Bombyx mori: one gene and its partners. The protein of the gene in region 2 binds, or shares a complex with, the protein of the main gene of each other region. Links are inferred from orthologs where the notes say so. Each region holds a gene or a part of one and is shown on either strand. Other genes may lie near its edges.

Evidence for each region. Proteins that work in one complex are often made in the same cells at the same time.
Region 1: histone deacetylase HDAC1 (region 2) and Myb share a complex: the UniProt entries of both Drosophila melanogaster proteins name them as parts of the DREAM complex. The link is inferred for Bombyx mori from reciprocal best matches to the Drosophila melanogaster genes HDAC1 and Myb.
Region 3: histone deacetylase HDAC1 (region 2) and transcription factor Dp-1 share a complex: the UniProt entries of both Drosophila melanogaster proteins name them as parts of the DREAM complex. The link is inferred for Bombyx mori from reciprocal best matches to the Drosophila melanogaster genes HDAC1 and Dp.

What each region holds. Positions count from the first base shown.
Region 1 is NC_085134.1:9,634,502-9,641,068, forward strand, and holds the start of Myb (Myb transcription factor), read right to left. Parts: upstream 3,797-6,567; coding exon 3,647-3,796; intron 1,982-3,646; coding exon 1,832-1,981; intron 1-1,831. UniProt on the Drosophila melanogaster protein: DNA-binding protein that specifically recognizes the sequence 5'-YAAC[GT]G-3'. Component of the DREAM complex, a multiprotein complex that can both act as a transcription activator or repressor depending on the context.
Region 2 is NC_085117.1:13,610,422-13,616,876, forward strand, and holds the start of histone deacetylase HDAC1, read right to left. Parts: upstream 3,673-6,455; 5' UTR 3,458-3,672; coding exon 3,409-3,457; intron 3,042-3,408; coding exon 2,929-3,041; intron 2,854-2,928; coding exon 2,736-2,853; intron 1,942-2,735; coding exon 1,841-1,941; intron 1,116-1,840; coding exon 872-1,115; intron 503-871; coding exon 326-502; intron 137-325; coding exon 34-136; intron 1-33. UniProt on the Drosophila melanogaster protein: Catalyzes the deacetylation of lysine residues on the N-terminal part of the core histones (H2A, H2B, H3 and H4).
Region 3 is NC_085110.1:8,924,147-8,930,567, forward strand, and holds the start of transcription factor Dp-1, read left to right. Parts: upstream 1-2,625; 5' UTR 2,626-2,984; coding exon 2,985-3,033; intron 3,034-3,316; coding exon 3,317-3,444; intron 3,445-4,002; coding exon 4,003-4,054; intron 4,055-6,421. UniProt on the Drosophila melanogaster protein: Component of the DREAM complex, a multiprotein complex that can both act as a transcription activator or repressor depending on the context. In follicle cells, the complex plays a central role in the site-specific DNA replication at the chorion loci.

The DNA.
Region 1 (6,567 bases), on a different chromosome or scaffold from region 2:
AAATACTTTTTATCTTAACGTTTCACTTTTACTTTTCAATCCGCTTTAAATAATCACATATACCAGAAAAACGATTTCGTAGTTAAGCTAACTTCTGAACACACACACACACACACACACACTTGAAACTATTTCATTATAATATACATATCTCTATTTATCAACGAATTTTACATAAGCGATTTGAATGAGCTTGTTGTATAACAACTGATAAACAATAGTTACAGGATCGATTTTGAATTTATTTTAAAGATAAATAAATCCTTTATAAAAATGACCTGAGTGTCCTTTACCGTATCTCTTATAGTTTAAAAGTTATAACAATTTATAGCTTGACAAATTATGTAACGGCTGTAATTTCATTATCATATAATATCTAAAAATGCTGTAAAAAATACAAATTTTTTTTTTTCTATATTTTGTTATGTATGGTTGTTTTTGTAATTTTTTGTAGTCTTCGAAAAAAAATATAACGATTAATATTATTTTTTTATAACAAATTGTTAAGTTAATAAACAATGAAATTATTTATAAAAAAATGTATTTCTTTGTTAATCCGCTGAAAAGAGTCAATGATGATTTTTAAGAAAAAATAATTTCTTAACTAATTATTTAAACAATTGAAATATGAAAAAAAACGATTTTAAACAATTAAAACATTTATTTAAGAAATTTTTTTTTTTTAAATCTTTATTTCACCTATGGAATAAGACGGTAATTTTTTTCTTTTTTTAAATCCCAAAATAGTCTATTTATTTATAAACAATTTCTTAACAAACAGCGTAAAATTTTTTTTTTAAATGTTAATTAATACCTATTGTGGATGCAAAAACAGCAATATTAAGATATTACGAAAAAAAACTATTTTTCATAACATTTTTTAGAAATTTAATTTTTCTGTTAATTAAAAAAAATTATAATTACTTATCAAAATAATAAAGATTAAAAAAATTTTTTTGCTTAACTTTATTAAGTACTTAAATGATAAGAGCTCCACGAAGGGAAAAATTTATAGATGAATTATTGTAACTTTTATACCGTAATTTATAAAAACAGAGATTGGAAAAAAGTTAGTTAATTAACAATGGTGTAAATTTTTGAAAAATCGATATAAAATTTTTTTTTCACCGAGGTTTTTTTCGTTCAAGTGTTTAGATTACACCATAATTTATTCAAATTTTTAAATTGTTATTTAATACTATAAAAAAAATATTTTAGGTGATATACCGGCTTTTTAGACGGCGCGCCTATGGCGTAACGACCTCGCGGAGCGCTATTTTCAGCGTTAATTTTTTTTTATAAATAATAGAGATAGAATTCTGGAAGTTGGGACTTTTTTATTGGAAATTTCCTCCTCTTTCAGGATCTTTTTTTCAAAATTCCTTAAATATCATTATTTTAGAAATAATTAAGGAAAAACCAAATTCCTTTTTTTTTAAATCTTATTTTGTTTATAACAATCGCAATTTTTTATGTGCTAATAAGCCCTTAAAAAACATTTTTGTAGACATCATTCCGCATCCAATGAGCTATCGTACATATTTTTAGGAGCTTTATGTCTATTTAACACGTTTTTGAACTTGTTGACTAGACTATTATATTATTGTTTAATATAACCATAATATGTTCCCTAACTATTCGCTAGTAGCTAGCTCACGGGCTCAACCTGAGAGAATTTGCTAACACTAGGCATAACAAGAGCAGTACTTCGAAGAATCTACCACCGGATCGGAATCGCGACCCACTGAGAAGATCCGGCGGGAAACTCAGTGGGCAATACCATAATACCTAATAGCAGTTTCGAAAAAAGCCAAAACAACTTGACACTTACCTCTTTGGTCCAAGGGCCTTTGACTAGTTCAGGGTTGACGACTTTCGTCCATCTTTGAAGGCACTGAACGTCGGAACGGTCAGGAAACTCGGCCGCTATGCGCTCCCAATTCTCTTTGTAAGTCCTAACATATGCTTTTAGTTTCTTGTCCTGAAAAAGAAAGCAAGATTCTTAAGTTCAGGTCTGTATCGACACTACTTTTTTTTTATCCTAGCTAAGCTGAAGGTCTTGAAAGACCATTTCAGCGCAACCTTAACTAGTAGGTGAGCTCACGGGGCTCAAACCTGACGATGTTGCTAACACGAACCCTAACAAGAACTGTGCTTCGCAGAATCTAGCACCGGTTCGGAAACGCGACCCACTGAGAAGATCAGGCGAGAAACTCAGTGGGCTGTGTCTGTTTAATCCACACTACCGACTTAACACCTGAGCTCCCTAGTTACTATGCTGAGTTGCGCCTATCTTATGCCAATTTCTACCGCAAACCAATCATGTGTTCCAGTTTGAAGAACATGTTAACATGGGTGTACATTGTACTATGGTGCCCATAAGCTCGATCCTTCACATCGGATGGATCGTGAGCTCATCAAACGATCTATGACCCTCAATTTCCCCAGTGACTGGACAGAAGTTACCACTTACGTTCGGAAACTAGACTTTTTCGTCAACAATAAAAGAAAACCCATGAGATGAATTCCTTTGTAAAATTACGACACAAAATTAGTCCGCAGCGATTGCGAATTCTTACTGGACTGGAATTATGTAAGGTAGTTCCTTCATTGTACTTCATAACCGGTTATTCAATACGCGATAATGCACGTGGAAAATGTTGGTTTCAATGACTCTCATTACATTTGAAAAAAAATTACAACAAACTAGCCTATGTGCAGAGATGTATTATGTAAAACTCGTTTTTCGGAATTCAAATTAGCCGTTTTCAGACTGCAAAGGTTATTGTTTTGCATAAACATATGATTTCAAATGAACAAGCATTTATAAGATTGTGTAAGTAATTTATAAGGGTAGGTACTAGCCGACCCGGGAAGCTTCTTAGTGTCTCAATCGATAAATAAAAGATCTAAACTTTTATATAGAATAAACTTACAACAAACAAAAGGAATCCGTCCGACGGGGAAGACATCAAAGGAAAAACAAAATTGTTATTTTTATTTAATTCCGAGCATTTTCAAATTTATCTACCTTTTAAAACCTTCTCTGGACTTCCACAAATAATTCAGGACCAAAATTAGCCAAATCGGTCCAGCCGTTCTCGAGTTTTAGCGAGACTAACGAACAGCAATTCATTTTTATACATATAGATAGATAGATTGATTTGAAGCAGTCATTCGATGCAGTTTTAAGTACGGGATAACCGTTATTCATTACAATTGAGGATCTTATCTCGTGTCTGAATGTGAAAGCTTTAACCCTGTGACGTCTTTAAACTCTAAAAACCATGAGGCTTTGTAGATTTATTGTAACTTCTCATCTCCTTTACTGGGCCACATTTGAACAGACCAAGTGATGCTATTTGCTAGAGCCTAGCGTTCCGTTATCGATTCCAAGGGACTGATGAACCGCTTGGTAAAACCAAAGCCAAGCCTAATACCGAATCGCGCCGTATCCAAGAAGTACCACCACGACTGTTGGGCAACAAAAACGCGAAAAATCATTCCTCCAAATTATATTTGGGTCATAGCCCCAACATTAACGCAAGAATTTCAAGTTCAAGAACGTAAGCCATTTCATTCTATTATTAGATACAAGACGTTTACGGACATTTGAGTTTTGCGTTGGAACATTTCTAAGCATTACCTCCTCTTTACTCCACCTTCCCCTGTTGATATTCTTCCTCGACCCAGTGCTTTTGGTTGAAGTCTGCACATCCTCGTAAGCCGCCGTCGAGTCCTCTGAATATTCGCTCGTCTCGCTGTCATAGCCGCTTTTTCTGTTGACAATGAACATTCAGAAGCTATAGACAAATGTGACATTAAATTTTAATGACGATATTTTTTTTTATTGCTTAGATGGGTGGACGAGCTCACAGTCCACCCGGTGTTAATGGTTACTGGATCCCATAGACATCTACAACGTAAATCCGCCACCCACCTTGGGGCATAAGTTCTAAGATCTCAGAATTGTTACAACGGCTGCCTCACCCTTCAAACCGAAACGCATTACAGCTTCACGGCAGAAATAGGCGGGGTGGTGGTACCTACCCGTAAAGTGTAATATAAAAGTAATTCCACAGATTGGCGACTGGCCTAATAAATAATTAGCACATACGCTTCAAGGACTAGTCGTTATCCCTTTCTCACTTAGAATTTGTGTCACGCTATATTAACCTAATAAATACAAAACCAAACCTTAACTACCCAGTTTCATACGTAGCATCATACGGAATAAAGCACGCACACAACATTTCTTATCTCAGAAGACATCATTTTACAAAGAGCTTACCGAAACACTGCCTATCGCGATAAGGACTAAGGGACCTTCATGTGTATAGCTAAGAATATTCACTTTTGTGGACACATCCACGAGTGTCTTATTGCTGTGTATTACGCTTTTAAAAGTATGATGTGTGGTCTATTTTTGTAACTAACTAAAAACGATTCATTATAATTCCAGATGAAATACAGGTTTGTAGACGGATTGTTGCCGACAAAAGATATCGTGGTACAGCAGTGAGTTTCTCGTTTGATTCGGTTAGCATGATATAGTTTTTATTGTTGTGTGAATAAATTCAAAAATTTTCTTACAAAGTAAAAACAATTCTTATTTAAAACTAGACGAAGACAAAGCTAATGATAAAAATAAAGCCTTACTAAATGCAATTTTTGATCTAATAGATATATGAAGTTAAGAATGTATTTCTTTACTGGTGAACCAACGAAGTTTTTTTTTTATTGCTTAGATGGGTGGACGAGCTCACAGCCCACCTGGTGTTAAGTGGTTACTGGAGCCCATAGACATCTACAACGTAAATGCGCCACCCACCTTGAGATATAAGTTCTAAGGTCTCACAATAGTTACAACGGCTGCCCCCCCTTCAATCCGAAACGCATTACCGCAGAAATAGGCGGGATGGTGGTACCTAGCCGCGTGGACTCACAAAAGGTCCTACCACCAGTAATTACGCAAATTATAATTTTGCGGGTTTGATTTTTATTACACGATGTTATTCCTTCACCGTGGAAGTCAATCGTGAACATTTGTTGAGTACGTATTTCATTAGAAAAATTGGTACCCGCCTGAGATTCGAACACCGATACATCGCTCAACACGAATGCACCGCACATCTTATCCTTTAGGCCACGACGACTTTAAGGACTGTTGACAGCGACATACAGTGATGCGTTACCTTAACTGGTGGGCACAAAACACAATTGGTCAAATCGTCTACACCAGTCTACTCCAAGTAATTAGACTGTTGAGTCGACCATGACCGTGAGCCATCTGTCAAGAGGCAAAACTTAAGCAACGATTATCCATTCCCAAAGCCAAAAGAATTTCAAAAAGTGCTATGTCAATTTCCAAAAAAATATTCAATGAAAAAAATAAATTAACATTGATTTTATTTGTGCATTTCAACATTTTACTGGTGGTAAGACCTCTTGTGAGTCCGCGCGCACGGGTAGGTAACACCAATCTGCTTGTTTCTGCCGTGAAGCAGTACTTAATGAGTTTCGGTTTGAAGGTTGGGGCAGCCGTTGTAACTATACTGAAACCTTAGAACTTATATCTCAAGGTGGGTGGCGCATTTACGTTGTAGACGTCTATGGGCTCCAGTACCACTTAACACCAGGTGGGCTGTGAGCTCGTTCAACCATCCAAGCAATAAAAAAATAATTAAATAAAAACCCTCAAAATGACCAGAATAATTCAAACGGCTTATTTGCAGCCCGCGCCTGTGGTCTTATGTAGAACATAAATAATACAATAAGAGAATTGAGATTTTTTATAGCACGTGAATTTGGCGATATAACAGGAAAAAAAAAACAGCCAATAGAATAAAATAAATATCAAAAATATTAGTCGCTCTTATCAGCAATAAGCGGTAGACACTTCGTAATGTTTGCAATGTTTTCGCCATAACTACTGTTATTAAAGACAAGTGTCCGGAGTGATTATATTAGTATCTATTGTAGCGTGAATTAATACATAATAAATATACCTACACTAAGATTTTCGGCAAGTTTTTTACGTTAATGTTTTTTTATTTTTATTGCTTAGATGGGTGGACGAGCTCACAGCCCACCTGGTGTTAAGTGGTTACTGGAGCCCATGGACATCTACAACATAAATGCGCCACCCACCTTGAGATATAAGTTCTAAGATCTCAGTATAGTTACAATGGCTGCCCCACCCTTCAAATCGAAACGCATTACTGCTTCACGGCAGAAATAGGCAGGGCGGTGGTACCTACCCGCACGGACTCACAAGAGGTCCTACCACCAGTGATATTTGAACAACTGAAATCTTACAAAGACCTTACAAAGAATCTTACAAAGAATTTAAAAAGAAACATAATGAGGTCGTAAAAGTATAAAAACAATGCCAGATTAAATTAAAACAATAAGTCTAGTTTAAAAACTACTAAAAACACGATAAAGTAGCGTAGAGAACTAAAGATTAAATGTTTTTTTTTATATCTGCTATCCCAGTCAGTGTTATAAAGCTAAAATAATATAATTGATCCCTCCTGCTAGATGGAGCGACGACCTGCGCAAGGC
Region 2 (6,455 bases):
GTGAAACATAGTCTTATATTTAAAACAACTTACCCGCCTCCGCCGACTAGTAAGAATGGAAGTCCAAACCTCTTGACAAGTTCTACACAGCGTCCATGACCTCGAACAGTCAAGTTGAAACAACCCAATCTGTCACCTTGTATAATAAAAATAGGTATTTTAGTTACAGTAATTAACTAAATTTTTATTATTTAGTTATTAATTGGTATGAGTGATTTTACGACATTCAGAATCAATTCAATTTCATAAAAAATTAGATTAAGCAAATAGCTTGGACAAATAAAAAGTGACACAAGAGTTATAAAGTTAGAGTTATTATAGTTACCTGTCAGAGAATCAGCACCACACTGTAGTACTACAGCACTTGGTTGGAATGTCTCCATAACTTTAGATATAATGGGAACAAAGATAGACTCATATGACTCATCATCCATTCCATCACGAAGGGGTATATTTACAGCATAGTATTTGCCTTTACCAGCACCAATGTCCCGCAAATCACCTGTAATATTATGATAATCAATTATTGCCATATATAAAATCTTTATAGGAAAACCCCAAGATGAGATGAGATATCTTCGAGATAATTTAATTTTTTTCTCCCAGTAGCAGTTTTTAAATGAGTCATATTACTCTTTTGTTAGATCAGAAAAATGTACAATCATTGTAAAATTGTGTACACACCTTTTAGATGTAGAGTGTACAGTCAGCGCTGTATGTACAAGGTAACAAATGCAGTGCTGCAATTACTTATCTTTCTCAGTTTCATGTGATAAAAAGGTACAAATATCTTTGTGCTAATCATTCAATATTACTCAAATAAACTTTAATGTTTTGAACAAGTTTAAATAGAAATAAGTAATGTAATCACCTGTTCCAGGAAAATATTCTCCATATTTATGAAAGGAAACGGTCATTACTCTGTCCGTGGTGTAGAAAGCTTCTTCAACACCATCACCATGATGCACATCTATGTCAATATATAGTACTCTTTGATGGTATTTCAGCAACTCCAATATGCCAAGAACAATGTCATTAACATAACAGAAACCTGACGCTTCAGACTTCTTTGCATGATGGAGGCCACCACCCCAGTTTATGCATATTTCTGAGGCCTAAAACAATTTATTTTTTTTATTTTTTATTAGGCTCACAATACACATCACAAGCTAAAGATACATAAAAAACACAAATAAAAAAAAAACAAAATCTGGCTTGCAACATAAGTTATGTGCGCACGACAAAACTATAAAGTGCTGAATTTGTATATCAACGTTCCTTACAATTACGACAAAACAACACGATAACGAAAACTAATCTAACTTATAGTGTAAGGAAAAAAAAAATTATAACAATAATAAAATCAGTACAAACATGTTTTAATTTTATAGTTATAAATAACTATAAATGAAACCTATATAACTATATAATTATAAAATTAAGAAAACTTGCAGAATCAAATTAGAAATCTCACAAGATAAGAAAAATCTATTGTTTTATTGTTTTAAAATCAATATAAACACAATTTAAGTGTTCTATTCATCTCTGACACAGTATCAGTTAATATCAGGTTGGGGCTCATCTGTCTTTAACCATTTTAAAGTTAAAACACTAAAAAGGTAAAATTATAATAATTTTAACAAATGAAAATAATACTTTCTCATTGGCATATGTAAGTAGAGGATGTAATTAAAACTACTTTTATTGTTTAATGTCATGTATACAATTGCTGTTATATTATTTCTGATTTTTTAAATAAATTACAGTTTTCATCGCCACTAATTAAACTGAAAAACTTGTTTTAACAAAATAAAATAAATAAAAAAATAAGACTAATTACCTGCTTATTCAGTTTTACAGCTGCTGCAACTGAACCCCCAGCAGACAACTGACAAAATTCATACAGGCCATCAAAAACAGGACAATCTTCACCTACATTAACTGCAAAATGTATATTAAAATTAGTCACATTCAATAAGTTGAATATTTTCCATATCATCCCTGAATGTGATCAGGCACTAATAAAGGTATGTAGTTTATAGGATATTACCCATCAGTAGATTGAGGGATAGGTCAAAAATAATTTGGTTGATGCTTTGAACTATAGGAACTTTAACAAAAAACCAATAGGATTGTACACCATTTTCACCATACTCTTTAAATAAATATGTACATTATAAAGGTTTTCTTCCTGCAATAAACAGCAGATACATTGGTTTCAACTAAACAGGCTGCAGACAAGGAGAGTGCTCATACAGGAAAGTAGTTTTTTTTCTTTATAATTTTGGTATGTTATATCTATACTTATCAAGCAGTGTGACAATTGACTGACACAACTAGATGCTGTGGTATAGTCAAAGATTTGAATTTAGGAATTTTTTTCAGTGTCATAGCAGTGAATCAAAGGAATTTTCCACAATTTTACACAAAATATGCTGTATTCAATCTATTATTTTCATCATCTTTTTATACAAATTATGAATATAGTAAGATTCCACTGTAGTAGATTCACATTATTGTAAGCTGAACATAGTTGAAACTGTGGGACAAATCTATTATAATATTATACACTGAAAAAATATAGTTTAATATAAAATAACACACTAAATAAGTAACTCTACTGTTATATTAGCTTTAACAGGTAAGTCTTCAAGGGTAATACATTTTCATTAAAGCATTTATGAATAATTAATACTTTTTTTAAATAATATTGATAATAATTAGTAATAACTTACATCTCTGCATTTGTTTGTTGTACTCAGAAACATTGTCAGGTCGAATAGAACGCAGGAATCTAATGTAATCATCTGAATGGAATTTTGTCATTTCATCAGCTGTGGCTTTGTGAGGCCTCTGTTTAAAAATATATAATTATAAAATCTCAAATCATTGAAGAACTTACACTTAAAAGGTAATTTCAGTACTCACATAAATCTCCATTTTTCGATAGAGTCCATAGTTGAGGAGTAAATTGTGGGTCATACGTATGCGGTGAGGTTTCATTGGATGCCCTTGTCCGTAATAGTAGTTTCCAATATCGCCTTTAATAAAAATAACACGCATTATTTTCAACTTTTTATTAACATGTTACTTAAATCATTTTACGGCTTCATATTTAGCCGTCTGTACCTCGTACATCGTAATACGAGCAAGTCCGTGTACCCAATAGGAACGCGGAACGCTGTACAGACGTCGTAAAATGAAACAATGAACTGAGTTAACAATGTCATAAAAATCCTAAGACAAGCTTTAAAATCTCTGAAGTTCTTAAAAGAGCTAGGCCGTGTGGAAATTTGTATTTAAAATATGAATACTACGCATATTAATTATTTATAATACAAAAACTAATTCTTAAGTTACTAGCGATGTAATGGAGATCCGTGGCGGGTAAAACTTTATTTTACTTACTGTCATAATAGTAACACACTCTTTTCTTACTGTGCGGTTGCATAGACATTTTTAATTATTTCTTCAACGGTTACTTTTTAATAAAATTATTACAATATACTTAAAAATGTTAAAGAGAAATAAAAACCACACCGCTGTGCTTTAATTTGACAATCCACACAAAAAAACTTCATAAAATAATTGAAAGATGAACAAAATGCAACTTCAGAGTACGACAATTTCATTACAGTGAAGTTGACTGACCTAAAAGTTACAGATATTCAATGAACGAATGAATGAATTGATTAAATTGAATGATTTTTAGTAGATTAAATATAGAAATCAAGTGAAGCCACAGTTCACAGTAGGTAGTAGCATTACAATCATAAGCATGAATTACTTGGCAGCTAGAACAGCCCCTTAGGCCAGCGATCGGCTTGCGGCTCGCATGCTGCTCTTTAGCTCCTCAACTGCGGCTCTTCCGCGAAATGTTTACCTAGTTCAGGCACGGAATATCCCTCATTATCTTATTTTTTTAAGAGAAGAGCAAACACTTTTAAAATACAAGGTTATAAAATTCTGTTAGAAAAATGGTTCTTTGATTAAATTTCAATTGTGTGTCTCTCTATTTGGCTCCCAGGGAATAGGCAGGGGAAAAAAATAGATGGTAATATTAATAGATTTTTATTGTTAGTAGCATTTTTTTTATTGCTTAGATGGGTGGACGAGCTCACAACCCACTTGGTCTTAAGTGGTTACTGGAGCCCATAGACATCTACAACGTAAATGCGCCACCCACCTTTCTAAGGTCTCAAGTATATTTATCTATATTGTTCAAGGTAGCAAGTTCAAGTTCCAAGTGGAAAAGTCTATACTGAGGGAAAATTTTCATATCATCATCATCATCATCATCATTGAATTTATTGGCAATATACTTATGCTGACAACCATACGGTCTACTTGATGGTGTGTGGTCACCACAATACACAACAAAACTTACCTACTGCATTTTTTATATAAAATTTAATAGAACCATTCGTAGAATTCCGCACGTTGCCTCTTATGTTATTAGAAATACACGGTCAACATAAAGGATACGATATTCTAAAAAACTACCACAGCTGAATCTTTATATATATATATATATTCATTTTTTTAGCAATTCATTTATCTATATATATAAAAATGAATTGTTGTTCTAACTTAGTCTCGCTAAAACTCGAGAACGGCTGAACCGATTTGACTAATTTTGGTCTTGAATTATTTGTGGAAGACCAGAGAAGGTTTAAAAGGTAGATAAATATGAAAATGCTCGGAATTAAATAAAAATAACAATTTTGTTTTTCCTTTGATGTGTCCCCGGTCGGGTGAATTTCTTTTTTCTTTCATTGATCGATTGAGGTACTACGAAGTCTGCCAGGTCAGCTAGTTTTAAATAAAATTGTAACAAAATGTATCTTTGGGAATTGAAAGATTGAAGAAGCTGCAGTTTACGGCAAGTGCGTAATTTTATACTCCTTACGTACATTCCTAATTATGTCCAAGGAAATGGTAGAATTCACCTTGGAAGGTAGAAGAAACTTAGGAACTAGAAATCATATTAATATTGTAACACTGAAATTAGTTCACGTGAACTTGTAGCAAAGGTTTCAGGAATTTGTACCTTAAAAATTTTCATTCTTCAATTCAACTTAAGGATGTGTAGCTATTTAAAATCGAAATACTATTGTGATTTCGAAATTGAATATATCTCGATACCCATTTTACTATTTTTACTCATTTTGATATAAAGTTCTCCTATAATTTATTTCATTGCTTTACCCAAGTCAAGATAAACAGGACGATCAAATTTATTTCAACATATGGACTTTAAATTCGAACTTCATTTATTAGAGATGATTAGTAGTAGTAGGTTAATGCAATATTTTCTTGTAGATTATTGATTCGTAAATAATTTAAATTCCAGGTAAATCATTTACATTCGGAAAAATAAAATATGGCATTGAAAAGAATTTAGAAGAAGTATACAAATAGCTGTGCTTACCAATGAAGCTTGACTACAAAATGTATTTTTTTAATTTGTTTTGTAGTTTGTATATTTTTTATTTGGTTACTAAAGAGCCTTTTGGTTTTACCGAACTAACTCATGTATACAGGGTGTCCCAGAAAGAATGGATAATCCTGAAAAACCTATTGGGAACACAAAATAAAAAATAAAATAACAAATTCTCAGGTAGTACCCAAATTACTATTTAAAAAAGAAATTTATATTTTCCATACTGCTGTGCGTTTCTGGAATATACAACAGCTACAAATAAATGGAATCTACAGGCTTTTGGTGTTATAATATTCTACATGGACTATACTAAGAAATATGCAGGAAATCGTTTGAGTAGCCAGTGTAATTTTTTATAAAAGCTAATCTGAACTTAATTTGGTATTTTTTTCTTTATTTTTAATTTGGGGACTAACTAAAAAAAATTTTTTTTTTCAGTCCCCATTTGCTCTACTATGAGGTGTTTCAGGATTGTCCATTATTTTTGGGACACCCTGTATATTAGCTGTCCCTGAACTAATTCATGTAATAATTATTTATTGGATGACACGATTATTCGAACTTAGACCGTTCATTCGCTTCGAAACTGTGATTTTTCCCTACACTAAAACAACAAGTTCCATTCGATATCGATTTGACAGTTCCCAATCCCATTCATGGAGGAAGTTGGTTCTGTTCTTCTCATCCTTTCATTCTTTCATCGCGCAGCAGTGGTCAAGGTAGGACGTCACTTCACGTAAATTTGTTCGAATTATTGATTTGTCAGTTGAATAATATTCTAAGTTCTATTCGTCCTGCAAAACCTTATTCCGAAACTGCGTGAATCAAATTCCGTGAAACTATTTTGTTGGTGCAGCGCAAATTGTGATCAGAATTTTTTATCTTTTCCTTTTAGGTGGACCCTGCGTCAGAAAGAATCCATAGTTTAAATAAACATCTTCAACTAAATCCGAAAAATAATCATGTAAGTATTACTCTATTTAAACGTATATTTCAGATGTGAGAGTATTTC
Region 3 (6,421 bases), on a different chromosome or scaffold from region 2:
GCTCCGATACCATGACCATCAACGCTGGTGTTCCACAAGGTTCGGTGCTCTCCCCCACGCTTTGCTTACTGCATATCAATGACATGCTATCTATTGATGGCATGTATTGCTATGCGGATGATAGCACGGGGGATGCGCGATATATCGGCCATCAGAGTCTCTCTCGGAGCGTGGTGCAAGAGAGAGGATCAAAACTTGTGTCTGAAGTGGAGAACTCTCTGGGGCGAGTCTCCGAATGGGGTGAATTGAACTTGGTTCAATTCAACCCGATAAAGACACAAGTTTGCGCGTTCACTGCGAAGAAGGACCCTTTTGTCATGGCGCCGGAATTTCAAGGAGTATCCCTGCAGCTTTTCGCGAGTATCGGGATTCTGGGGGTCGATATTTCGAGCGATGTTCAATTTCGGAGTAATTCGGAAGGTAAAGCCAAATTGGCCTATAAAATGTTGGGAGTCCTCAACAGAGCGAAGTGGTATTTCACGCCTGGGCAGATACTTGCGCTTTATAAAGCGCAGGTCCAGCCTCGCGTGGAGTACTGCTCTCACCTCTGGGCCGGGGCTCCCAAATACCAGCTACTTCCATTTGACTCCATACAGAAACGGGCTGTTCGGATGGTCGATAGTCCCACTCACGCGGATCGCTTGGAACCTCTGGGTCTACGGAGGGACTTCGGTTCTCTCTGTGTTTTATACCGTATGGTCCATGGGGAATGCTCTGAGGAATTATTCGAGATGATCCCCTCATCTCCTTTTTATCATCGCACCTCCCGCCATCGGAGCAGAGTTCATCCGTATCTGGAACCGCTGCGTTCATCGACAGTGCGTTTCCAAAGATCTTTTTTGCTTGGTACCATCCGGCTTCGGAATGAACTCCCCTCCACGGTGTTTTCCGAGCGCTATGACATGTCCTTCTTCAAACGAGGCTTGCGGAGAGTACTTAATGGTAGGCAGCGGCTTGGCTCTGCTCCTGACATTGCTACGTTCATGAGCGACGGTGACCACTTACCATCAGGTGGGCCGTATGCTCGTCTGCCTACAAAGGCAATAAAAAAATAAAAAATATAATGTGCCATGCTAACTATCTGTTTGATTTTTAATGTTAAGCGTACCAACAACCAGTAAAACGTATGATTAAATTGTTGATGGATAGCAGACAACACAAAGCCAACATGGGAAATTTCAGTCTAAAAAAATTTAATTTTAACTGTTGATTTATTTATATTTAAAAAGAAAAGTATCTCTGTTTGATCAAATCGACATGTACTAATGTTTCTCAACCTCTAAAGTTCTTATAGTCTCATATTTATTACCTGCATTGGGCATTCAACCTAAGGGGCTAACGGTATCTCAATCTATTACAATAACAGTTTGAGCTATGGTTCGATAGCTGTTGGTTTTAGGAAAAACGAGTATGTGAGTTTGAGATAGTGTTTTTTAAGAAGTATCGAGTTGATGATGTTTATTTAATAATACATCCCCGCAGACTATTGAGATTCAACCTATAATCATATTTGTAGACATTAAATAGTCATGGCGCCGCAATTCCAAGGAGTATCCCTGCAATCTTCCGAGAGTATCGGGATACTTGGGGTCAACATTTCGAGCGATGTCCAGTTTCGGAGTCATTTGGAAGGCAAAGCCAAGTTGGCGTCCAAAATGCTGGGAGTCTTCAATAGAGCGAAGCGGTACTTCATGCCTGAACAAAGGCTTTTGCTTTATAAAGCACAAGTCCGGCCTCGCGTGAAGTACTGCTCCCATCTCTGGGCCGGGGCTCCAAAATACCAGCTTCTGCCATTTGACTCCATACAGAGGATGGCCGTTCGGATTGTCGATAATCCCATTCTCACGGATCGTTTGGAACCTCTGGGTCTACGGAGGGACTTCGGTTCCCTCTGTATTTTGTACCGTATATTCCATGAGGAGTGCTCTGAGGAATTGTTCGAGATGATACTATCTGGAGCCACTGCGGTCATCCACAGTGCGTTTCCAGAGGTCTTTTTTGCTACGCACTATCCGGCTATGGAATGAGCTTCCCTCCACGATGTTTCCCCGTGCGCTATGACATGTACGTCTTCAAACGAGGCTTGTGGAGAGTATTAAGCGGTAGGCAGCGGCTTGGCTCTGCCCCTGGCATTGCTGAAGTCCATCCACTCACCATCAGGTGGGCCGTATGCTCGTCTGCCAACAAGGGCCGGAAAAAAATTATTGTAATCTCATAAATGCTTTTTTATGGTAGCTTAGTTTTTATATATACACAAGGTTCTACAATAAATACTGGAAGAACGAGTAGTGATATTGTTTCATAATCGTAAAAATATCAGAAATGATACTATACCACTAAAAAAAAAGTAAGTGACCATAACATTGTAGAAAAATAACGTAACAACGTGAAGAAACTGAATCCGAACAGACTATTATGAACAAGAAAGACATGGGGCCATGCATGAAGTTTAATAATTAAATTAACCTCATGCATGGCGCACTTCGGAAAACATTTTTAAATTCTTGCGATGGCAAGGACATTAAATGCGTACATCTACACCTAAAAACAAAATGGCGATTGAGAATTGGCGCCTTTTTGTTTTTTTTTCACATCTAGCAACTATTGAATAGTACCACGTGAACTACCTCATCCAATCAGCTGGTAAATCCAAAAATCCCGCCTCTTGCATCGTTTCCTTCTCGTCCCGCGCTGCGTTGGTGATGGTGCTTGGATTCGCGCATTTAATATACTTTAATTAAATGTTAAAAGTTTATCAATGTTACATATATTAATAGAAACTTTAAACTGTAAAAGGTTCATTTATCGGTTCAAAAATTGGCTATAGTTTTGGTTCTAACCCATATTTTTGTCGCCATTTTGACCTGTGATTTTGGTCATACGAATTGAGTAGGTATTATTTAATTTGTTTCGTCATCAACAATTGTCCTACGTTGTTCTTATGAAACATAAATGGACGTCCAAATTCAAGGAGTGTGGAGAAAATGTCCCAAACTAATAGTACAATAAATTACCTTATCCATGATGCTAACGGTTAGTAGAGGTGCTACTTTAGTTTACGTGACACTTGTTTTTCCTATCGGATTTAAGACTTTGTATTGCAAACAAAGCCTAGATCAATTGGACCAAACTCAAGACTAGTAGCTTAGCTTTAGTTATTATCTTCGACGCCTTTTATTCTGCCGAAATAAACATCATCACAGCGTTTGTTTATTACGGAGATATTTTTTGTTTCAATCAGCTGATGGCACCGACGCTTCAGTAAGTCTTTAATTTAGATTATAAATACATAAAGACTCGATGATATGTCCTGCAGGACTTCCTCAAGTGGTGAAAGTGCTGGAAACTACAAGTAAACCACTGATTGCTCAAATCGAAGCAGAACCGAAAGAGAGTCCAGTTAAAATTGTTACTGTATCACCTGTTCCGGTCAAATGTGCAAAGGTATGATTATTCGCAATTTTTTTATATATGAAACCACTATATGTTTTACATATATTATTATAAACATTATTTATTTACGCTTCATTAGACTAAACTTTTAGTTAGAGTAGTAATGTATATGTTGAATAAACTTTTAATAAACAGAACGAACGAAATGACATGAAATATAATAATAATTACTTTCCTTTGTCACTGTGGTTAACCTAAGCTTTTGGGGTTCTAATATAATTTAGATTTAGTTGGGTGAACTGAGCCTACCTATGCCCTTATGCCCTACTGTAATTTGATTTGAATTTGAAAAATATTCTACAACTAATGAGGACTCCCTAGTTCTTGTATTTTTTTATTACTAGATAGGTGGATGAGCTCATGATCCACCTGGTCTAAAATGGTTACTGGAGCTTATGGACATCTACAATGTAATTGCCTCCATCCACCACGAGACTAGTTCTAAAGTCTCAGTACTTACATCTTACATAGGTCAATAGGTACCAAACCAGAATTAGCAATTTGATTATCATTTACCATTCAGTTTTATATGAGTATACTCTTTAACAGATACCTGTTCCAGCCAGTTTTGCAAGATTTGGAATTGTTCAATACAAACAAAGTAAGTTTTCAGCATGACAGGGTTTGTTGACAGAAAGTAGAAAGTAACCAAGAATCCTATTTAATATATAACTGTATATTTTATTGCTTAGATGGCTGGATGAGCTCATGGCTCACCCGGTGTTAAGTGGTTACCGGAGACATCAACAGTCAATGCCGCCGTCAACCTTGAGACACAAGTTCTAAAATGTCAGTTTTTACAGTATAATAACATATACTCCACCCTTCAAAGTGAAATGCATCTGCTTCACAGCAGAAATAGGCATGGTGTAATAGCAAATAATTTAGCTTCTTGCATACATTTGAGACTTCAACCTCATTTCTCAATGTAATCATACATGTAATTTAGTGCTTTGCGAATTGTTAGGTACATCTACATCCAAAAAAATTTAATAAAAATAAAGTGAGCAAGTAGTAATGAATGTCAAATATATACAAATTTAGGAAGTATTTTGTTACTAAAATTTTGCACACTATATTAATCTTAGTTCTGGGTGTTTTAGTATCACTGTTTACAAGTATCAATACTTCTGCTATGGAACATAATCTAATTTTTAATACATACATACACTATAAAAAGAACATCTTGATTGACTATCCAATATTAAAATAATCCACATGATGGTGGTAATTAATGTTAGATAAGCTGATTTATGAACAAACTTATATAATTTGAATTAGTCCATCAATTCACTTCATTATACATTTCAAAATTATGGTGAGAAATTATGCCTACAATATAAACATACATATAAATCAATAAGTATCACCCCTCTTAGAGATCTGAAGTTGTAATATCAATTGTTTTATATAAGGGCTGTCCGGCCCATCAAACCAGAACTCTCGACTGCTTTGTGGCAGAAATAGCCAAAATAGTGATATCTATTTACTCAAGTGGTCTTAAGATACTTCCCACTAACAGATATTACACAATGTCTTAAGACACAATAAGATCCAAATGATTAATGGAGGTTTTGAACCTTGTCATAGCCACATCACTTGATATAAATTCATCAGGTGTCTTACGATTCCGATTTCGCAGTGGAGATTTTCCTGTTGAGTCTGTAATTATTGTCACCACTGTCTAACCTTGTTCTTAAAGGCTGTTTTGCAATAGTCAAAGATCACGTTTACTAGTCTCTATACAGTAAAAGTTTATTATTCGCGGGGTTGAAGCATAATAAAAATATGCCGCGAATACAGTAACCGTGAATAGGGAAGGGTAATTTGCGTATATGGAGGTTATAGGGGACTCTTCGCCTCGAACTCGACTGAACGACGGGGGTGCCACACCACCGAACATCCCCCGGTGTGATAGTTCCCTGCCGGAGATCTACTTTGCACAGTGTGCAGTCAGGTGGGAACTCCGACTCCTGGACGTTCATAAGTCGAGTGGGCCAGACGGCAACCCTGCAGTGGTTCTAAAAACGTGCGCCCCTGAGCTGACGCCTGCGCTAACGCGTTTGTATCGCCTCTCTTATTGCACTAACAGGGTTCCGTCTTCATGGAAGACCGCCCACATCCACCCTATCCCCAAGAAGGGTGACCGGTCGGACCCATCGAGCTATAGACCTATCGCGATAGCTTCATTGCTTTCCAAGGTGATGGAGCGAATAATAAATATACAACTCCTGAAGTATCTTGAGGATCGCCAGCTGATCAGTGACCGGCAGTACGGTTTCCGTCACGGTCGCTTAGCTGGCAATCTTCTTGTATACCTTACTCACACAGGTGGGCTGAAGCCTTGGAGAGCAAGGGTGAGGCTCTTGCTGTGAGCCTTGATATCGCAAAGGCCTTCGACATGGTCTGGCATAGGGCACTTCTGTCAAAGCTACCATCTTACGGAATCCCCGAGGGTCTGCAAGTAGATCGCTAGCTTTTTGGATGAGCGGAGCATCACGGTCGCTGTAGACGGTAACTGTTCTGATACCATGACCATTAACGCTGGCGTTCCACGTGTATATCGATGACATGCTGTCTATTGATGCCATGCATTGCTATGCGGATGACAGCACGGGGGATGCGCGATATATCGGCCATCAGAGTCTCTCGGAGCGTGGTGTAAGAGAGACAATCAAAACTTGGAAGTTGTCTGAAGTGGAGAACTCTCTGTGGCGAGTCTCCGAATGGGACAACCCGTTAAAAACACAAGTTTGCGCGTTCACTGCAAAGCAGGACCCCTTTGTCATGGCGCCGCAATTCCAAGGAGTATCCCTGCAACCTTCCGAGAGTATCGGGATACTTGGGGTCGACATTTCGAGCGATGTCCAATTTCGGAGTCATTTGGAAGGCAAAGCCTAGTTGGCGTCCAAAATGCTGGGAGTCCTCAACAGAGCGAAGCGGTACTTCACGCCTGGACAAAGGCTTT